Rattus norvegicus: one gene and its partners. The protein of the gene in region 3 purifies or fractionates together with the protein of the main gene of each other region. This does not show direct contact. Links are inferred from orthologs where the notes say so. Each region holds a gene or a part of one and is shown on either strand. Other genes may lie near its edges. The genes, in order: Bzw2, Cul4b, Tmem43, Endod1 and Saal1.

Region 1 (3,515 bases), on a different chromosome or scaffold from region 3:
AGGAACTCTTCCCAGTGAACAGACAGAGTGTGGATCATTTCGCCAAGTACTTCACTGACGCAGGACTGAAGGAGCTGTCAGACTTTCTCCGAGTCCAGCAGTCACTGGGCACCAGGAAGGAACTGCAGAAGGAGCTGCAAGAGCGACTGTCTCAGGAATGCCCCATCAAGGAGGTAAGAGGCCGTGTAGTGAAGCCCTGCACAACACACACAGATACAGGGTAAGGATGGAGCCCGTCAGGGAGCTAGGAGACCACGGTGAACTCCAGTTCAACAAACATGGTTGATGGCTGTGGGTGTATTCAATGATAGAGCACCTGAAGAAGTATTCACTAGGCCATGGTTTACATCCCCAACGCATGCAAAAAACTATGCATGCTAGCGAGGGTGTGCGTGTGTGCGTACGTTCGTGTGTAGAATTATATAGGTCATATAACATAAGCTTCCCCTGTTGTGGTAAATTCCCCAGCCCAAATAAGCCGTTGAAAAGAAAACGCAACTCAATATGAATACAAGCTGTGCACCTAGATTGGGCAGATCTAACACTGCACTGCTCTATTCCCCAGCTATGAGATCTCTTATCACTTGCAGTTTCTCCAGGCCTCATGCTTCAGCTCCATCTTCCTCCCTCCTCCTCTTCCTCTTCCTCTTCTTCCTCCTCTTCCTTCTCCTCCTCTTCCTCCTCTTCCTCCTCCTCCACCATCCCTTTTCCCCCTCCCCTCCCCAACTCCACCTTTCCTTTCCCCTGCCTAATCACCAGCTCTAGCCTTTATTTTACAAGTTAAAATGGGGAGAAGGTCCTGACCTCTCCTAGGCAGCCCCTCTTGGGGAAGAGTAATTAGCATCAAAATATGAACAGCACCAGGGCAACCCGCCTTCCCCTCCCTCGCCTTCCCGTCCCTCCTATGTGTTACCATACACTATTCCCTTGCTCCTAACATTGAAGTTGGCTCAAAGTACTGACTCAAAATCCTATTTTGTTATATTTGGGAGTATTCTAGAAACTGACGTTATTTTGGCTCACACTGCTCATTTTCACCAGGCTGCCATGATTATCAAACGGTTTTGTCAACACGCAGACTTGGCGCTCTGCTGGTAAAATCTCCCACACAGTGATGATTTCCGTTGAACTGTCGATTCTCTACCTGGTGCGAGCATTAACTAGCACTTAGTGTCAAGGCGTGGGCATTTTGCATCACTGGGTATGAATGTGTTGCTTGTTTCTATTTTCATGGCCCCTGGAGTCAAACCCAGGACCGTGTGCATACACAGCAAGAGCCCCACCATTGGGCTATATTCCAGCGTCTTTGAAGAAGAAAACACAAATCCACACAGGGAAAGATCAGTTGGGCCAGCATCTTATGTACCCCATTATAAGAGCTCTGTAAAGGCTACCGGTTTTGGAACCGTGCTTAAGCATGGTTTGCCATGTGTTAGAGAGCAATGACTGTCTACACATCTGGAAAGGCATTGTTTAAGCTGAAAGAAAAAACCACCCTTTCTACATGATAAACTCAAACTTTAGCTGGGGAGTCCTCCTCCTACTCCCAAATCCTTGAGTTTCAGCTGTATCTGCTGTACTCTGAGCCTTACCTGGCTTCTCGAGAGAGTGGGGGCTGGAGAAGCTCAAACTGCTAACTGTCCACCAGGTGGAGGTGTTAGAACAACAGACGCTCTTTCAGCCTGCAGCCTGCAGCAGCTGCAGCCATTTTCTTCAAACTAGAGCTGTGCTTGACTCTCATACGCACAGAGTGAGGTGTGAGCTACAAGGAAAACCACAGTGATGGTTTTAGATGCAGCAGTCCCTGTTCCTAGTCATTCGAGGGTCCCAGGCAGGTCTGAGTCTCGGGTTGCCACTTCTCTCTAAAGGTACCCAGCCAGTCCTCTGTTTCTGAAGTTCAGGAGTAAAGAAAACAGTTATCTTCTCACCATAAGGGAGGGGAATGGATGTATTGCTAATTGCAGAATACACTGGATTGACGTGAATCGAGGAAAGAAAGTGACAGGATTTGGGGTGTGGCTTGTTTGGTACATAGGAGCCTTCAGTTCAATGTCAGTGCCTCATAAACCAGGTATGGTAGCTAATCTCAGCAGCTAGGTGGTGAGGAGAGGAGCAGTAAGTTCAAGGTCACCCTCGTGTATTTATCAAGGTTCCCTGTCTGGAAATTGGGGAGGGGAAGGAGGGAGGTGGTGCCTTTGCGTTCAGGTTCTTTACCTATTGGCTCTTCACTGGGATGGGGCGGGAGAGTCATCTCAAGAGCAGGACTGAAAGGATAAACATCAAGAAGTTTAATTTTAAGCAACAGAAAAATTCACAGAGCTGTTGCTTACTTCGCACCCATGATAAGTCAGCCTGACTCAAATGCCCTACTCTGCTGGACCCAAAGGGTTCCCCCATAGAATGGTTGTCCAGGAAGCTAAGCCTTTCTCTTACTCTATGTCATCTAGCAGCTTCTATACTTCTCATTTATCATTGGAGGATGTGTATTAGGGATGGAGAGGCTGAACCCAGGATTTTCCACCCTGCCCCAGGCCGTGGAGAGGAATAGCCCCAGCATTTATGGTTGCTCAGTTGTTCCTCTCCGACTCTTTTCCATGAAACGTAGGTGGTGCTTTACGTCAAAGAGGAAATGAAAAGGAACGACCTTCCGGAGACAGCTGTGATCGGGCTGCTGTGGACCTGCGTCATGAACGCTGTGGAATGGAACAAGAAGGAGGAGCTGGTTGCTGAGCAGGCTCTTAAGCACCTGAAGGTAACGGGCGTTTGAAGGGAACCAGCTCTGAGGCGGGTCAGCTGCACCTCCTGACGGTGTGGCGGGTAGAGCCAGCGCATCCCTGAAACCCCAAGCACTGAGAAGGTGGCGTCATGCAGATCAGTTCTAGGCCCGTCCTGGCTACGTGAGACCCTGTCACAAATAACGAGAAACGAAAGAGCTAGTGAATGCAGAGCCCATTTCCCCAGAGCCAACCCTGGCTACGTCATTTTCCTTCTCAAATCTGCCGCTGCCTAAAATGTTTAGGCATGAAACATCTCCAGATGGGTTCTCGTTAAAAGACATCGGAAATATACAGTCACCTGTAGCGTCATACGTTAACAAGAAATGTGAGCTAATTATCGACTGTGTTCCATAGGGAAAAATAGAAGCCAGAATCTTTGATTTAAGTAAGCTATGAATAGACATTAGGATTAGAGAAGTAAATTGACTGTGTCGGTTGACTATTTTGAGGTACAGCATGCCCTGGCACTATGGCGAGCAGAAACAGTAGGAGATCTTGCATGGAGAATTCAGTTAGGAAGTCGAGGTCAGAATGTGACCTAAGTGGTCATAGACGACTTTCAGTGTCTCTGAGGTCGGGGGAAGAAACACTGTTCCAGATGGGAACGTCTCTATGAAAGGGAAGTGAGTAGGTCTTAGAAAAAGCTCTCTAGCACTAACGGAAAGTCAAAGATATCTGGGATTCAGGAATAACAGAAAGAGATCCTTCAGGTGGCTTGCAGTGCCTGGGACACAGGGA
Region 2 (3,515 bases), on a different chromosome or scaffold from region 3:
CAAACTACATCTGGTTGTTTATGTTTTTACAATATTTTAAAACCTTCTATTTATGTCTTCAAAACTATAGATCCAATTCTCATCCCAAATGTCAACAGAGACAGCATATACCACCCTCATCCTTGATCGCCTCACCTCTATCCCCATGACAGGCTCTGAAATAAAAATCCTCCAACTGATTAGAAAATCCCTGCTCTTACCGTGTAAGTATAAGTCTTCTAATACTAACTTTAATCTAATACATTTTACTTATGCTTCTGTCTTATTCTGGATGTTAATTATGACTTAATCCTGAAGTAGGCCAAATATACTTAAAATTCATTGATGACCTTTTCCCTATACTGAACTGTTAATTTAAGTTGCCATGAAGTGTTTGTAAAAAAAATATGGGTTTCTATTTATCTTCTTCAATACAAACTGCCGCAAGGACATAAGTATCCTTAAGTTTAGGGAGTTAAGAGTTTAACCCACTTTTACCTGTTTGAACTGGATCATGATATCTTTAGAAAGCTCCATGTCTTTAAACATGCCTTCAAGCTTGCTGGTAAAAGCGGCTCCACATTCTGTTAAAGAGGTTTACAGATTTATATTCCAAGGTAGTACAACAAACAAAAATTAAAATCAGAAAATAAAATACAAAACTCAACTTGGGCATAAAATATGATCTGTATCCACTTGTAAGAATGAAAAGTCTTACCTCTCAGCGTGCCCTAGCAATTCAGAGGTAAACTCTTTAATCCAGGTATAGGATAGTTGGCAAATTTTATACAAATAAACAAAAGAATAATTCTTTATCTTTAAAACAATACAATAATTGTGGCTATCAGCAAGAGGCTAGGACTCTCATACCTCACTTTGTGTGTGTGTGTGTGTGTGTGTGTGTGTGTGTGTGTGTGTGTGTTGGGGTAAGTGTGTACAGGTATGGACAATATGCATGTCCAAGTCAGAGGTCATTGGCTGTACTCCTCTACCACAGTATACCTTATTCCTTTGAAATAGGGTCTATCTTTGAACCCAGAGCTAGTCTGGTGTCCAGGAATCCCCAAAGATCCTCCTGTTCTCTACTCCTACCCTACCCCTAGCTAGTGGACTTATACATATGATTTTTTACAAGGGTGTTATGGATTCAAACTCATGTCCTCATGTTTGTGCACAAAGACCTCTTACCCTCTGAATCATCCTCCCCATCCTGTCAATTTATATTTTCATCATGTGTATATAAAAGAAAGGAACATAATTAAGCCATTATTTACCTCAAATATTAAAAAAAGAAAAAGCTGATATTAAAAAAGAAGACTGAGAAACATACCGTGTTTCAGTTTGGACAGCATTGATTTTTCAGCATCCACTGATGCACTCTTGCCAACTAATAGGCGTTTGGCTAAGTCTTTCTTATAGAAGGCCTCAAAAACATCTTTGCCTGTATTAAATAGAAAAGATAACATTCATGATATGCCAAGTAAAGCTGTAAGAAAATGGCTTTAAAAAGCTTATTGTAACATGCCAAGTTATTTAATTTTATACATTTTATCCAAGTTTATTAAACTCAGGAACACTGGAGGTCCATGTCTGTGCCAGGTATTTCAAAAGTTTTTTATTATAAAAAATTAAGACTGTATTAACTATTTTTCTGGAAAAAAAACAACTTTAGTACATTGGTACTGTTAGCACCAAAACTCAGAGATTAAAACAAGCAGTAAAATCCCAGGTTCTTAATAGTGCAAAGGTCAAAACACAGGCAATTTAGTTACATTCCTCAACTCTTCTTAAGGATCCAAAATATGCAATAAGTAAAATATAACCTATAGGTCTCAAAGTCTCCCCGGGTTATATAAGAGTTTTTTAGTTCCTATAGGAGTGCCTTGCTATGTTGCCCTAGCTGGTCTGATTCTATGTGGCCTACACAGCAATAGTGCTTCAGCCTCCTGAATTGTGGATTGCAGGATTGTGGATCACTATGCCTGGCTCAGAGTGCTTTGTTTTAAAAGAAAAACATGAAAGCAGTAATCAACACTTACCATAGATAAATCTAAATATAATCATTATTTTATCCAACATTTTCTCAAGCTCTTCATCTGTAGCTTCTTTGTTGCCTGCACGAAGTTTTGAATCCACATACTTAGCTAAAATAGAGAAAAATTGTAGTTTAGCAACCATGGGTGTCTGAAAGGTACTGACCACTACACAAACCCAAACAGGACTATAAAATACTAACTCTCTTTCAGTATTTCTGCTATATGTACATGCATTTTATGGCCTACAACAAAAGGAAGATCAAGTTAACTTGTCAATGTCACAGGGCTAATAAATACCACAACCTAAATACATTAAATCGGACTCCAGACTGAATATACTTTCTAGTATAATACGGAAGGGCTACATATAGAGCACTGTGGTAGAGTCCCTGGGTTCAAGCCCTCACTTTCACAGTTTAAAAAAAAAGGAAAGAAAAGCAAAATTTAAAATGAGGTAGAGACAGCTCGTGGTGGAGGCTCCAAGTTGCCCTTTGTGGAGTCAAAGTCACCAGAAAACACGGGTACTCTCTAAAGTTTCTATTTTACACAGAGGGTCAGTATTCTTAAACATTACTTTTGTTATTTGAATAAACCAGAAACAGAGCAGAAGGCACAATTTATAAAATGTTTAAATTTAAATAAAATTAGAAAACAAACCAAACTCCATCCTTTCAGAGGACCTCGTTTTCTAGGGCACATATACTCCTAACAATGAGTGCATGTGTAGGAACCTTGCTTGAGAACACTGCAACACACTTGTATACTCAGTAAGCCTGTATCATTAGATTTATTTTCATCCTAGACTTTATTCATTTGCATTGGAATTTCATGCTACCCTTTTCCTGTAGCTATAACTGGAGACCTTTAGACAATATTACTCTGTCCCATGTCTCAATCACTATAGGCTTGCAAAGCACAGAATCATGCTTACTCAGTAAAAGTAAACAGGGTTCTACGTTCTACCTCACATAGAGTTTATATCCTGTTTGACATGAAGACTGAGATGCTGTTCAGCTTGACAGGCTAAGCGACATCAAACAAACCAGGAATGGGTACAATATGATTATCAATATGAGTTTATCAATAAAAGAACATTACACAACCACAAAAGAATATGAAACATACCTATCAGTTCAGCTGGCTTATTTGGTCTTTTATTAATGAAGGTTTCAAATGCTTCTTTCATGGCATTGATAAATTTTTCATTTTTCAGAAAGCAGGTATCAATTATATGGTCAACTTTATCTTTAAAGTCCAATAATTCTTGAACCATAGTTTTATCTTTTTCAGGATTAATAACAATGGTACTTCCAAAAGCCTGAAAATGGAGATGGTGTAATTTTATGGTAATTGATTTTTTTCTACAGTGAAAATATTCACCAAGTCATATTTAAAGTTGGCACATGTACTTAACAGTCACAAAAGGTACAGTTGTCTCTGAAGGAAATGGAAAATCTAAACAAATAATATTTACTTACAAACAAAAATAACAAGTTATTG
Region 3 (4,099 bases):
CTTTCTGTAGCTTTGTATTCTCAAGAGTCCTCCCAACTCTTTCCTGCCTTGGGCACGTGCTTCATGAATACCAGAGTAAATGATGCCTGGTCTCTCAATTTACAAGAGTGGAAACTAGGGCCTGGAGGGTTTGGCAGCTCAAATATAAGGAGCCAGTTAGTGCTGGGAGGCCTTAGAGCAGACTGGTCTGGATTCTTCTGGGCTCCTGTCTATGGGTAATAGGTAGAGGAAGTGAGTGATCCTCAACGTGGCTAGAAATGACGGAAGAAAGCAAGTCCTTTCGTATAGGGCTCCAGTTTCATGACCTGATGTGGGCTCTTGGATCGAGTAACCTGTCCTAATTTACCGTTTGATAAAAATGTGGATAGTAAAAGAACCCGATATATAAAGACCGCTACGTGAAATTTAAAAGAGTGCCTAGTAAACAGGAGGAGCTCAATAAGTGCTCCTGCTAGTGGCACTTCAGCACACCCACTCAAGCCCAAGTGGTAATTTTCCGGGATATTTAAAAAGCCTAAGCGGGAGAGAAACATGTGGTGAGTGCGAGGAGCGACGGGGGCTGATTCCTAACAGTCCCCGATTTCCAGCCAGATACAACATACTCCACACTAGCAGGGCCCACGTGAGGGCCTCCGAGGCCCGAGTTCGGGCTTCACCTTGACCTTGGACCAGCCTCGTTCCTCACTGAGCCTCTGCCTTTCTCATTTGGAAACCGCCGCGTGAGGCCCACTAAAGGGCCCGCAGCCGCTCGATGGAAACCACTAGACCGCGTGTCTCTCGCAGGCCCGCGCCGGCCGGTCTCCATGGCAGCGCCCGACTCACCTTCCTGCCGGCAGTAGGACATGGTTGTTCTCAACGTTCCCAGCTCGCAGAGGGAGCAGGCGCGGCTACAGCGGCTACACCTTCTCGTTGTGACCTCCCTCGCCTCTTCTCAGGCCTGGCGGGTGGCACTGAGGCCCACACGGACCCGCCCCCTCCAGGCCTGCCCGCCGCGCGCCTGCCTCCGCTCGTCCTAAGCGCCAGCACCGCTTCTCAGTCGAAAATACATTGACCAGCAGCCTTTGCGCCCGCCAACTAAAGCTATACTACATTTCCCAGAAATCTTGCAGCGCGCACGCGCACCAGTGAAATATTGTGTTTTGTAATTTTGTGGTGAAAGCGTCCGACGTCCGACTACATTTCCCAGCAATCCTTGAGACGCGCATGCGCAGACAACTTGAGACGTAGGCGGGGCCGTAACTCTTATCCCGAGTCCCGCCAGGTCCTGGATTCCTCGAGGAGTCTTGCAGCTCTGTGGCAGACAGGACACCGTATTCTGCGTTCCGGTCGTCATCCCAATTCCTAGAGGAACAAAGCAAGACGGCGGCAGCGAACCAGGCCCACCATGGCAGCGAACGTGAGTGCTTCCTGATCCCCGGGTTACACCATTATCTGGGTCGTTTTTCCCCTAGGTTTGCGCTGGGTCCTTCGGCCTTGCGACCCCAGTGGGTGCGGCTGCCCTCAGCTCCCTGAACTCGTCTATCTCGGGCTGCACGTTTGTGGGACTCAGCTCTTAGTCGAATCCGCTCGTGCACGGCTGCTTCTTCCACTCCTAGTTTCTTTCTGGGCCCCTGGGGATATAAAACTTGTGGAACTGAAGGACCACGAGAAAAGTGTCTGTCGGTGAGCAGATTAAGGTGCTCCTGCCCAGGTGGAGCTGTCCAACAAAGGCTGCTTTGGTCTCCGCTCCCTAGGGGGTGTGTGCTCCTAGGCTGTGATGTAGCAGGACAAGCCTGGCTGGATGACCTAGAAAGGGAGGCTTTTCTCTACTGCTCGGTTCCTGGTGCACTGATTTGGGTAGAGACCCTGACTGAAGATAGTTGCCCCAGACCTCTGGCCATTTCCTACTGCAACTAGTCCTTAACTTTCCTAGTGAATCCTAACATTCATTCAACAAACGGAGCAACACCACCTACTAGGGGACTGGGTGTGGAAGAAGCTGGTGACTCATAAATGCCTCTGGTGAAAGCGCCTCTGGAACCAGCTCAGGAGCACTGCCAGCCCCAGTCACACCCTCTCTCCCTCCTTGGTAGAGTGTCATTGCAGCCATCCTTGGGCCTGTTACACCCTCTTCCCAGGCCCCTCCTCTGTCCTCAAACTTCTTGGCCTCCTACACCTCCTGGGAGATCAGAGTTTGTTTCACCCACTGTCCAAGCAATATCTGCTTGGCACATTGTCCGGCCCTAGAAGGGGAGGAGAACCAAAGGTTAGGAATGCTGCACTGGAACCAGAGGAGAAGGCAACCAGCAGGCCAGCCGGGCAAGAGTGGGCGGACCCCTTCGGATCCATATGTTCAACGTCAAATTTTACAGTTCCCCAGCAGAAGACACCTGCTTGGGGGCTTTTAGACAGTTTGGCTTGCTATATCATCAGCCTGGGAAGGTGCAGATGAGGGCAGGCTTTGGAGGCAAATCCAGATTCTTCCACTCTTAACAAGCCTCTGGGTTTACCCTCATGGGATCAGTTACTGTGAAATTTGAGGGAGGTTGCTGGGCACAGAGCCTGGTACATGGGAGGTGCTTAATCCTTGAAAAAGTCACACTTAGAGGCTAGTACACACAGCCCTGGTGGGCAGAAGCCATCTTGGGTCTGACTCTCACACCAACAAACAGACACAATGGATATCTTCAGTAAGCGTGCCTTTGTCCATCCATTGTTACGTGACTTTCCCGGGAAGACATGAACATTCATCCATGTCAGTCAGGATAATCATAGACCAAAGGAGCCATTGCACCAACTCCATCTTGGTGAACCATCTTGGGCTTACTCACAGGAGCGTGGGTATTACCAGAGTCCCACGCCGGCATGGGTGACTGCCTCTGGAAGGCTGCCTAGATGGAGGTGTGTGCCCTCCCTTCCACTAGCCCTCTGCCTCCTGTATCCTCTGCACACTGCTGGGGGTGGGACACAGAGGGAAGTGAGAAGCCAGAATCCCAGGCAAGGTTATAAAGATCCTCTTCTACTCTTCCAGGGAACGTGCCGCATAATGTGAGGGCTTCATTTGGGCAATCTAAGCTATTCCGATTTCAATATGACAGTGGCTCTGCCGTGCCTAGGGACGGTACCAGAGCATCCACGCAGTAGCTGAGTCACCAGGCAGGGTAAGCAAGGGAATCTTAAGACAGTGAGTGGAACAAAAGCCCCTGAATTCAGTATAACAACTTTCCTGTCAGGTAGGTGTTGTCACCAGCAAGTGAGGAACCAGAACCAGAAAGGCGGAGCACATGTTGCCAGGCTCATATAGCAACAGCTGGGACTCCAATCCTGGTGTGCCAATTTCCAGGCCCAGTGTGTTCCCACCCATTGCTTCATTGCTTGTTGATTCTGAGCCCGGTGTGCTGGAAGTGGAACACGTTACTGTGGATACATAAGTGTGTATACATATACACACACATATACACACAGGTGCTATTTCCCACCTCACCTCTCTCCCAGCTGGAGGGACGTCTTCCTGGTTTCCCTTCCTTCCTGGCCTTAAGGGGAGCCAGCAGGGATACACGTCTCCTTTTCCGTTGTTCAGCCTGAATTGCGCTAATCGATGAAGAAGACAGTCTAGGGTAGAGGGCCCTCCCTGCATTGCACACCCACTTACTACTTACAAGGTGTTGAACCAGGCTGATAACCTAAACAGTGGGTCTCGATTTCTTCTTCTGTGAAATGGGTAGTGGTAGCCTCTTTACCCTTGAGCCAGCCCATGATTGGCCTGTAACAAATGAGTATGTCATTTTGGGCATCTGCTGGCTTATGGCTGCCTTCTTGTCTGCAGTGGTTGTCTCCACTGAGTTTTATATGGTATTGTTCTGGATACCGTGGGTGTCCTCAGCAGGCCTGAGCCAGCAGTGGACAGCCGCCAGAAGTAGCATTAGCTCTGCTCAAGGATTCTGTCTCAAATCCATCCTCTGATCCTGGGCAGGAAGGGGCCTGGCTCTCTGAGGTGCCTGCCAGGTGACCACTTTGTATCTCTGTGACTTCCATCCACACCCACAGTCTGGGTGGCAGCTCCAGTTTCAATTGTGGAGAAATCTGATAATGTTCCTATTAGCCACAACTCCCACAGGTG
Region 4 (4,055 bases), on a different chromosome or scaffold from region 3:
CCACTAAGCCATCTCCCGGACTGGTTTTGCTTTTCATTCCTTCTGGGCCACTCCAGTACAGCAGTCTTATTAACTCAGGAATATGATAGAAAGACCTAAACGCTCAGTGATATATTTTATTGGTTTGTTCGCGTGTTTGTTTTTTGAGACAGGGTCTTGATGTGTAGTCCAGGCTGGCCTTAAACTCTGTTTTCCTGGCCCCTACTCTCTAGTGCTGGAATTACAAGCCCGAATCACCCTTCTTGGTTCCTTAACCTAGTGCATATTATTGTTTCCAAACTTCAGTTTATAATCTGTTAGTGGCTTAGAGAAAACATTTAAGTCACCCACTGTCTTTTTTGTTTTGTTTTGTTTTTAAATTAATTCATTCATTCATTTTGAGACAAGGTCCAAGAAGCCCATCCTGCCTTTGAGCTCCTGGTCCCTCTGCCTCTACCTCCCTATTACAGGAATAACATGCACACACACCGCGGCTAGTTATATACTGTCCAGGGGGCGGGGCCCGGGACTTCCTACAAACTAGACAGGCGCTCTGCTCACTCCAGGCAGATTCTTCTGCTCTTTATCCCACCAGCCTGCCTCAAGTTCCTCCCTCATTCTTTTCCTTTCTGGGAAAGTCTAGCTTGGGGCTGCCTTCCTCCGGTGTCAGTTCAGAGACCATCTTTTCGGGCCAACTTCCTTACACTGTATCCTAAAGTCCCGCAGGAGTCACGCAATGGACTAACAGTGGGTTTTCAATGACTCCGTGAACTGCATTTTTAAAGATTAATAATAAGCTCACCAAACAGAGATCCTGCTCTTGTTGGTTATCACTATACTAACTCGAGGGGGGGGGGGTGTACGGAGGCATGTGAGCAGTGGGATGAATAAAGGGTGTTGGCTGTTTGGTTCCCTTCTGAGTTTCGGTTTGATGTCTAACCCTCATACCAAGAAAACCACAGCGGGCCTGTGCCGTCTGCCTAAGAACTTCCTTTAGCAAGTGTTTGTTTGTTTGTTTATATTTGAAGCAGGGTCTTACAGAGCCCTGTTTAGCTATGAATTACAGAGCCCTCTGCCTCTACCAACATGACTGGCTTTAACCGGGTTTCTTAACTGGGGTCTGATGCGGAAGGGCAGGCACTGTCTACTCTGCGGGCATCCCCCGCCTCCATGCATCCCGGAGGAACCTGGTGCACGCAAGGTCCGGCTTCTCCGCGCCAGCCCTGGGGACCGTCCCTTGGGCTAAGTCAGACCAGCGCAGAGCGGGAGGTCTGGCACACAGCAGCGCCGCGGCAGGTGTCCGGTCTCCAGGGGCGGTGCAGCCGCAGAAAGCTGGGGCCCAGCACTGCAGCCATCTTCGGGGTGGAGGCGGAGAAGGGGCGCGGCCTTGGCCCGGAGCCGCCCTGCCGGAGCGGCGCACCGCGGACTTCCCTGCTCCCGCGGCGCCCGGCCGCGCAGAGGCCGCCATGGGCTGTGCGCGCTGGCTGGCGCTGGGCGGCCTCCTGGCCCTGCTGGGGCTGCTGCAGGCCCGGCTGCTGCTCCCGCAGCAAGCGGGCTTCGGCGAGTGCGACCGCTTTTTCTACGCGGGGACCCCGCCCGCCGGGCTGGCGACCGAGGCGCACGTGAGGATCTGTCAACGCTTCGCGGGCTCCGAGCGCTTCGCCACTCTGTACAGCCCGGGCCACCGCATCCCCGTGTTCTCCGCGTTTCGCGCTGCGCGTCCCGCGTCCCGCAGCGCCGAGCAGCGCGGGCTGCTGGAGCCGCAGGTAAGCAGGGCTCGGTCGGAGGGGAATCTGAGGTTCAGACCCACCCCGGCGACTCCCCACCCCCCAATTGCAGCCTGCCTTGTCCTGGTGGGAGTCTCCACTTAAGCCGCAGGGGCGGGAGGTTCCCTGGAGAGATGGCCCTCCCTCCTCTTGGGCGCAGACATCTGCAGTGTCTGGTTGGTTTCCTGGGTAGTAGAGAACACGGACTGGGAGACAGCCCTTGGTGGCCTGAAACCAGGCATATCCGCGGGAAGCACAGCTTCTCAAGCCCGCCTCCTGTCCCCCTAGCAACATTCGGGGCGGTGGGCAAGTTCACCCCATTTTACTGGGAGCAGCTCCAGGCAAGGAGGGTGGAGGAGCTTGCAGAAGACCACCCAGCTGGTGAGATGAGCGAGCCGGTCTTGAGGCTAAAAAATCACTGCCCTTTCTGCTAAGGGGAAAGCTTCTGTTAGTGCATGGACTTTGAGAAGTTCAGTGGGACTTTGTTCACGCAGAAAGGACAAACCAGTTTTTCCTGACTCTTCGTTATCTACAGATTATCAAACCATTGCAATCAAGTCACCTTTGACAGACAGTGTTGGGTCTGTCTGGTGGCAGGGGTCAAACAAGGAGAAAGGCCATGCAGAACCTGCTGACTGATTCCCCTGCAGGTCTCCTCCGTAAGACACCCTGACCTGCCCCTCTTTGACTTCTCCCCAGCCTTCTGGCCCTGTGTGTCCCATAGCTTTTGGTTCGTGCGGATCACCAATACAAACCTTCTGGCTTTCAGGTGTCTCCGCCTGAAAGTGTGGGTTGTACCTGCACCACACTTCCAGCTGCCACTGGCCAGGCAGGTTTCAGGCGATCTGCACCAATATTACCTTCTTACATCCTTCCATGTCCAGCGGCCTGCTGTAGGGACCTTTGAGCTCAGGCCAGGAGAAAGAGGTATTAGCTTGTGCGTATAGGGAAGGCACATGTTAATCTAAACTTACTTTCCCCCAGTGTACCCTTAGAAGTGCTTTATGTTTCCCCAGTCTGGGAAGAAAGCAGCAGACAAACGCTCACAGGGTGAAGTCCTGAGAATTCACCTGCACCTCCCTTCGTGCATTCAAATCCTGCTTCCTCTAGACTAGCTGTTGACCCTGTTGACGGGTGAGGGCTCCAGGAGTACATAGTGGGGTTAAATGAGTTCCTATATGTGAAGTTCTCCAGAGACCCATAAGTACTAGCTGCCGTTGTGTTGCTCACAAAACACATAATTTAACCTAGGTAAACAGATTCCTGTTAGAGTCTGTTTGTAAGGTGATAGGGAAAAACTTAGGGTCTGGTTGGCATTTGTGCCAAGTGTGGAAGGATTAGCAGGGTTCAGAAGGGAGAAGAAGACGGAATTTCAGACTGGTTTTGTATGAAATGGGCGTGGCAGATGCTTGGATCACTGCTTGGGAATGAGTGGGGCAGGTAGACTAATACTGGATTATGAGTCCCAAGGAATCAGAATAAAGGGGAATTGTGGGAGGGAGGAGCAGGTGAAGGAGTCATCCGAGGAGACTTAGGCAGAGCCTTGGACCTGTTATTAAGAGAGTCATAAGGAACAGGCTTTGACAGAGAGGCTGTGGAGACCCTGGGTGGAGAAATGGGCGCGCCTGAGAGGTCATCGTGGAATGCTGGGTAGTTCTGAAGGGCAGCTGGAGCTGAAGACGGTCTGACTTCTGGAAAGTGCTCTGTGGCTCAGAGGGCAGAGTGTTTGCCTGGCATGCACCTAGCCATACTTATTTTATCCCCAATACTGCATAAAATGAGGGTCACCCATATAGTCCCAGCACTGAGGTCAGAATGTCAAGGTCATCCTCAGGCCGTATAGTGAGTTCTAGCCCAGCCTGGGCTATATGAGACTGTCTTAGAATAAACAAGTTCAGCGCCCCACACCCCTGGAGAGTTGCCAAGGCTGAGAACTGAGGCTGCTTTTCCCTACAAGATGGTGGGCTCCACAGTACCCTACCTTGAATTCAGCAAGGGGATCCAAAGAACACTGAAGGGAAAGGAGGGGGAGGAGATGGACGGAGAAGGGAGGGGAGGGGAGGAGGCAGAAATGCAGGTGACCTCTGGAGCCATTGCAGCAGGCTGCCCCTGCTTCTGTTTCAACACCAGCCTCTCAGCCTCTCAGCCAGTGCCTGAACTGTAAGTCCTGCTCGGGGCTCCGTGTGCTTCTAGATGCTTCCAAGGAGTTTCTATTGGCAAGTCGTCGGTGCCCAAATCATCTTATGAAGTCAGTGTGATCAAGAGGTCCAGGAGGAAGACAGGGAGTTCAGTGCTGGACAATGAGTCAGG
Region 5 (3,515 bases), on a different chromosome or scaffold from region 3:
TCATTTCATTTTTAGGTCATTACCCCTTTAATTACCTACTTTCCTCCCAGACCAGTATTCCTTGTGAAGGTGGGGGTAGCATCTTAATACCCTCTGCCTTCCTGGCCCCTGGCAGTAAGTGCCCCAAATGATAGATATTTGCACCAGCACAGCTAAACCAGTACTTGCCCCCCTCTTCACTTAATTGTCTGGTTGAAGAAGCAGCATTTTGGGCTGGAGAGATGGCTCAGCCGTTAAAGGCTAGGCTCACAACCAAAAATATAAGAAGCAGCATTTTGAGTTCTAAGAATACAAAGTGTTGAGCAGAAGAGAGCCTCAGTACCATGGTGCCTGGTGCCGTAGGCCTCATATCCCTCCCATGAAAAAATCTCAGTATCACACACGTGTGCATTCACACACACTCACACACTCAGACTCACTCTCACACACTCACCCTCATTTACACACGTCCCATATACATTCACACACTTATTCACAGACATACATGCACACACATACTTACATACATGTTTACACACATATACTCACACGCACGCACACTTGTTCACACATACACCTCACACACTTCCACACTCACAGACAGACACAGACACACCCCCTTTTTTTCTGTTTTCCCCATTCCAATGGAGGTGCTAGTGAGCGGAGTCCGTATGGTTGTCTGTTCCACACCTGCTGAGAGAGGGAATGACTGAGCCAGTGAAGTTACGAGTGCTTTTGCTGTTTCTGTCCGCTCAGTTCTGAAAACCTGGAAGGGCTGGATGTTTATATGCACGTCCTACAGCTGCTCACCACGGTGGATGATGGGGTTCAAGCAATCGGTAAGGCCGTTTCTTGGCGCTCACTGAAGTTGCTCATTTAAGTGTTCATTAGCTTTAAAATGACTACTTTTTAAAAACGTTTCTTAAGTGCAGTGTCCTGATACTGGGAAAGACACATGGAGTTTGCTTTTTGACCTGGTGTGCCACGAATTCTGCCAGCCCGATGACCCGCCCGTCATCCTGCAGGAGCAGAAGACAGTGCTAGCCTCTGTCTTCTCAGTGCTGTCTGCCATCAGTGCCTCACGGGCCGAACAGGAGCACCTGAAGATAGAGGAAGGCAAGTGAGGTGTCACCACGCTGGACTGGTGCCCACCAGATCGCCAGGGCCAGGCGGCATGCGCTGTCGCTGGGTTTCTCTCTCACCTTTTCTCCTCAGAAAGAAAGTATCATTATTCAGGACCCTAGTCACATAAAATATTAGATACAAAACATATGGGAATGTTTATAAAAGGCATTGAGGAGAGGTGTGGGGTGCAGCTCCAATGGGGTGCAGCTCTAATGGGGTGCTTGCTTAGCATGAGCGCAATCCTTGTTCAGTCCCCAGCACCGAAAAGAAAGCAGCACCAAATGGCGTGGTCAATCCACAGGTACCCCTTGCTTTACCATGAATACATCCTAATGTCCTCTGCATTTTATTAATTGCACTGCTGAGCTCACAGATCAGCCGCCACAGGGCTTTAGGGCATCTAGTAAGGACCGCTTTAGGGCATCTAGTAAGGACCGTGTCTCTTCAGTCTGATGTCTCTGTTTTTGACGGCGTGGGCAGCTTTGACTTGTTTAGTGCAGAGCCCCAAGTGCTTGCTGATCTTTAAGTGGGGCTGCGTTGAGCATGGGCTGTGTCGAGGAGGGAGTGCACTGTGTAGGCCTGCCCGTCTCAGAAGCCGTTCTGTGCTCAGTCTACAGACCTCGTAATATTTGTGTTAGGTTTATTCCCAGACATTTTATCTTTGGATAGCTGTTCTCTGTCACATACTTTCTTCTCACTATTGTTGGGCTTTATGAAGCTGTTGATTTGTATATTAATTTTGATTCTAGCACCCTTACTGACTTGCCAGTAGTTTGACTTTGCTGTGCTTAGGGTTCGACCCATGGCCTTGCATACGTAGGTGGACATCCTGTCACTGAGCTGTATCCATTCCCTGTCTTGTTGCTCTTGAATTCTATCTGCCTGCCTGCCTGCCTGCCTGTCTGTATGTATGTCTAATGTGTATAGGTGTTTTGTCTGCATACATGTGTGTGTGTGTGTGTGTGTGTGTGTGTGTGTGTGTGTGTGTATGTATGTTTGTATGTATGTGTGTGTGTGTGCACCAGCTGCCTCGTGTCTATGGAAGCCAGAAGAAAGTGTTGGATCCCCTGGGAAAGGCTTATGAGCCATCATAGGGGAGCTGGGATTTGAACCAGGGTCCTATGGAAGAGCAGTCAATGCTCTTAACCACTGAGTCATCTCTCCAGCCTTTGTCTTACAGTTTTTAGTAATAGGTTCCACGATAATCCTCAACTTTATCTGAAGTTACACGTACTTTGTCATATTTTTTTGTCTGACTTCTTTTTCTTATCTAAGTGTGTTGCCTAGTGTCTCTGGTGTTTTAAATACCTGGTGGGAAACTCTCGTCTTCTTCTGACTCTGTAGGTAATGTCTCAAGAGCTTCACCCTTTAGTGTTACTGGGCATAAAGTGCTTGTTTTTTCCATTCGAGGATGTTTTGACATTTTCCTGTTTTAATATATATATTTTTCAACAAGTAAGCACTGTTTATATTTAAGGAGGGGTTATTAGTAAGTTATTTCTCTGCCAGTGAAATCCAGTGAAAAGCCAGGTTAGAGTATATTAAATGTTGGTGTATTGGGAAGATGCTCTCAGACGAGTTCACTGGCCCCAAAGACCAAGGCCAGGGAAGTCACCATGGGGGGAGAGTTAGGTGGTGGGAGGGGGAAGAGAAAGAGAGAAAGGGTGTGCATGCAGGGTGAGAACAGAGACAGAAAAGGGGACCAAAGTGTCTGGATTATACAGGGAGGAGCCTCTGGGGGAAGGGCAGCCCAGCTCCTGGACTAGAGAGTTCAAGGTTGGGGGCGGGGTGTGCCAGGGAGGGACTGAGAGATTCTGGGAGAACCCGGAGGCCCAGTCTGCTTTGGTAGGTAAGGTAGGCAGCTCAGTCCTGTTTGAGGGTCTGAAACTTGTTGACAAGTGACACTGAACAGCCTGGGGGAGCTGGTGGAGGTCGTCATGTGGAAGCTCAGGAGGAGTCTGCACATGGAGACTAAGGGCACTGTGTACTGTGTGTTGGAGTCTCCATACGGCTAGGGTGGCCTCTGAGTGAAGAGAAGTAGTGCAGCTGCTGGGGAGTAGAGTGCAGGGCAGGACCTCGGCCGTGGGTGAGGCAGGGAGCCATGGAAGGCTCAGGTTGACTAGATGTGGCTGATTGTGATGCCCATGGGCTGGTAAGCGTAGGGAGTCATGAGTAAAAAGGGAGAAGGGGGGCAGGCTGTGTGGCATCAGAACAAGCAAGGCTCTAGCTTTGATCAAGGCAGGAACAGTAGCAGTGAGGGAGGATACTACCAGATGGTCACTTTAGGGATAGGAAGAGTGGTGGTTTCTGTGCATGCGTGCGTGCGTGCGTGCGTGTGTGCATCTGTCTGTCTGCCTGTCTGCCTGTCTGTCTGTCTGTGTGTATGTGTGTGATGACTGGCTTTAAACATG

The links.
Region 1: the proteins of Tmem43 (region 3) and Bzw2 purify together in Homo sapiens (affinity purification with mass spectrometry; 3 studies listed by BioGRID and IntAct, counting the BioPlex papers as one, with this or other methods). This does not show direct contact. The link is inferred for Rattus norvegicus from reciprocal best matches to the Homo sapiens genes TMEM43 and BZW2.
Region 2: the proteins of Tmem43 (region 3) and Cul4b purify together in Homo sapiens (affinity purification with mass spectrometry; 3 studies listed by BioGRID and IntAct, counting the BioPlex papers as one, with this or other methods). This does not show direct contact. The link is inferred for Rattus norvegicus from reciprocal best matches to the Homo sapiens genes TMEM43 and CUL4B.
Region 4: the proteins of Tmem43 (region 3) and Endod1 purify together in Homo sapiens (affinity purification with mass spectrometry; 3 studies listed by BioGRID and IntAct, with this or other methods). This does not show direct contact. The link is inferred for Rattus norvegicus from reciprocal best matches to the Homo sapiens genes TMEM43 and ENDOD1.
Region 5: the proteins of Tmem43 (region 3) and Saal1 purify together in Homo sapiens (affinity purification with mass spectrometry; 3 studies listed by BioGRID and IntAct, with this or other methods). This does not show direct contact. The link is inferred for Rattus norvegicus from reciprocal best matches to the Homo sapiens genes TMEM43 and SAAL1.

Annotation. Positions count from the first base shown.
Region 1 is NC_086024.1:58,567,383-58,570,897, reverse strand, and holds part of Bzw2 (eIF5-mimic protein 1), read left to right. Parts: intron 1-2; coding exon 3-173; intron 174-2,605; coding exon 2,606-2,752; intron 2,753-3,515. UniProt on the Homo sapiens protein: Translation initiation regulator which represses non-AUG initiated translation and repeat-associated non-AUG (RAN) initiated translation by acting as a competitive inhibitor of eukaryotic translation initiation factor 5 (EIF5) function.
Region 2 is NC_086039.1:122,164,794-122,168,308, forward strand, and holds part of Cul4b (cullin-4B), read right to left. Parts: intron 3,334-3,515; coding exon 3,141-3,333; intron 2,124-3,140; coding exon 2,019-2,123; intron 1,421-2,018; coding exon 1,310-1,420; intron 564-1,309; coding exon 478-563; intron 1-477.
Region 3 is NC_086022.1:125,533,545-125,537,643, forward strand, and holds the start of Tmem43 (transmembrane protein 43), read left to right. Parts: upstream 1-1,299; 5' UTR 1,300-1,384; coding exon 1,385-1,396; intron 1,397-4,099. Other genes in the region: Chchd4 (mitochondrial intermembrane space import and assembly protein 40), read right to left, coding at 823-844. UniProt on the Homo sapiens protein: May have an important role in maintaining nuclear envelope structure by organizing protein complexes at the inner nuclear membrane. Required for retaining emerin at the inner nuclear membrane.
Region 4 is NC_086026.1:19,517,208-19,521,262, reverse strand, and holds the start of Endod1 (endonuclease domain-containing 1 protein precursor), read left to right. Parts: upstream 1-1,255; 5' UTR 1,256-1,445; coding exon 1,446-1,745; intron 1,746-4,055. UniProt on the Homo sapiens protein: May act as a DNase and a RNase. Plays a role in the modulation of innate immune signaling through the cGAS-STING pathway by interacting with RNF26.
Region 5 is NC_086019.1:106,340,317-106,343,831, reverse strand, and holds part of Saal1 (protein SAAL1), read left to right. Parts: intron 1-735; coding exon 736-818; intron 819-906; coding exon 907-1,095; intron 1,096-3,515. UniProt on the Homo sapiens protein: Plays a role in promoting the proliferation of synovial fibroblasts in response to pro-inflammatory stimuli.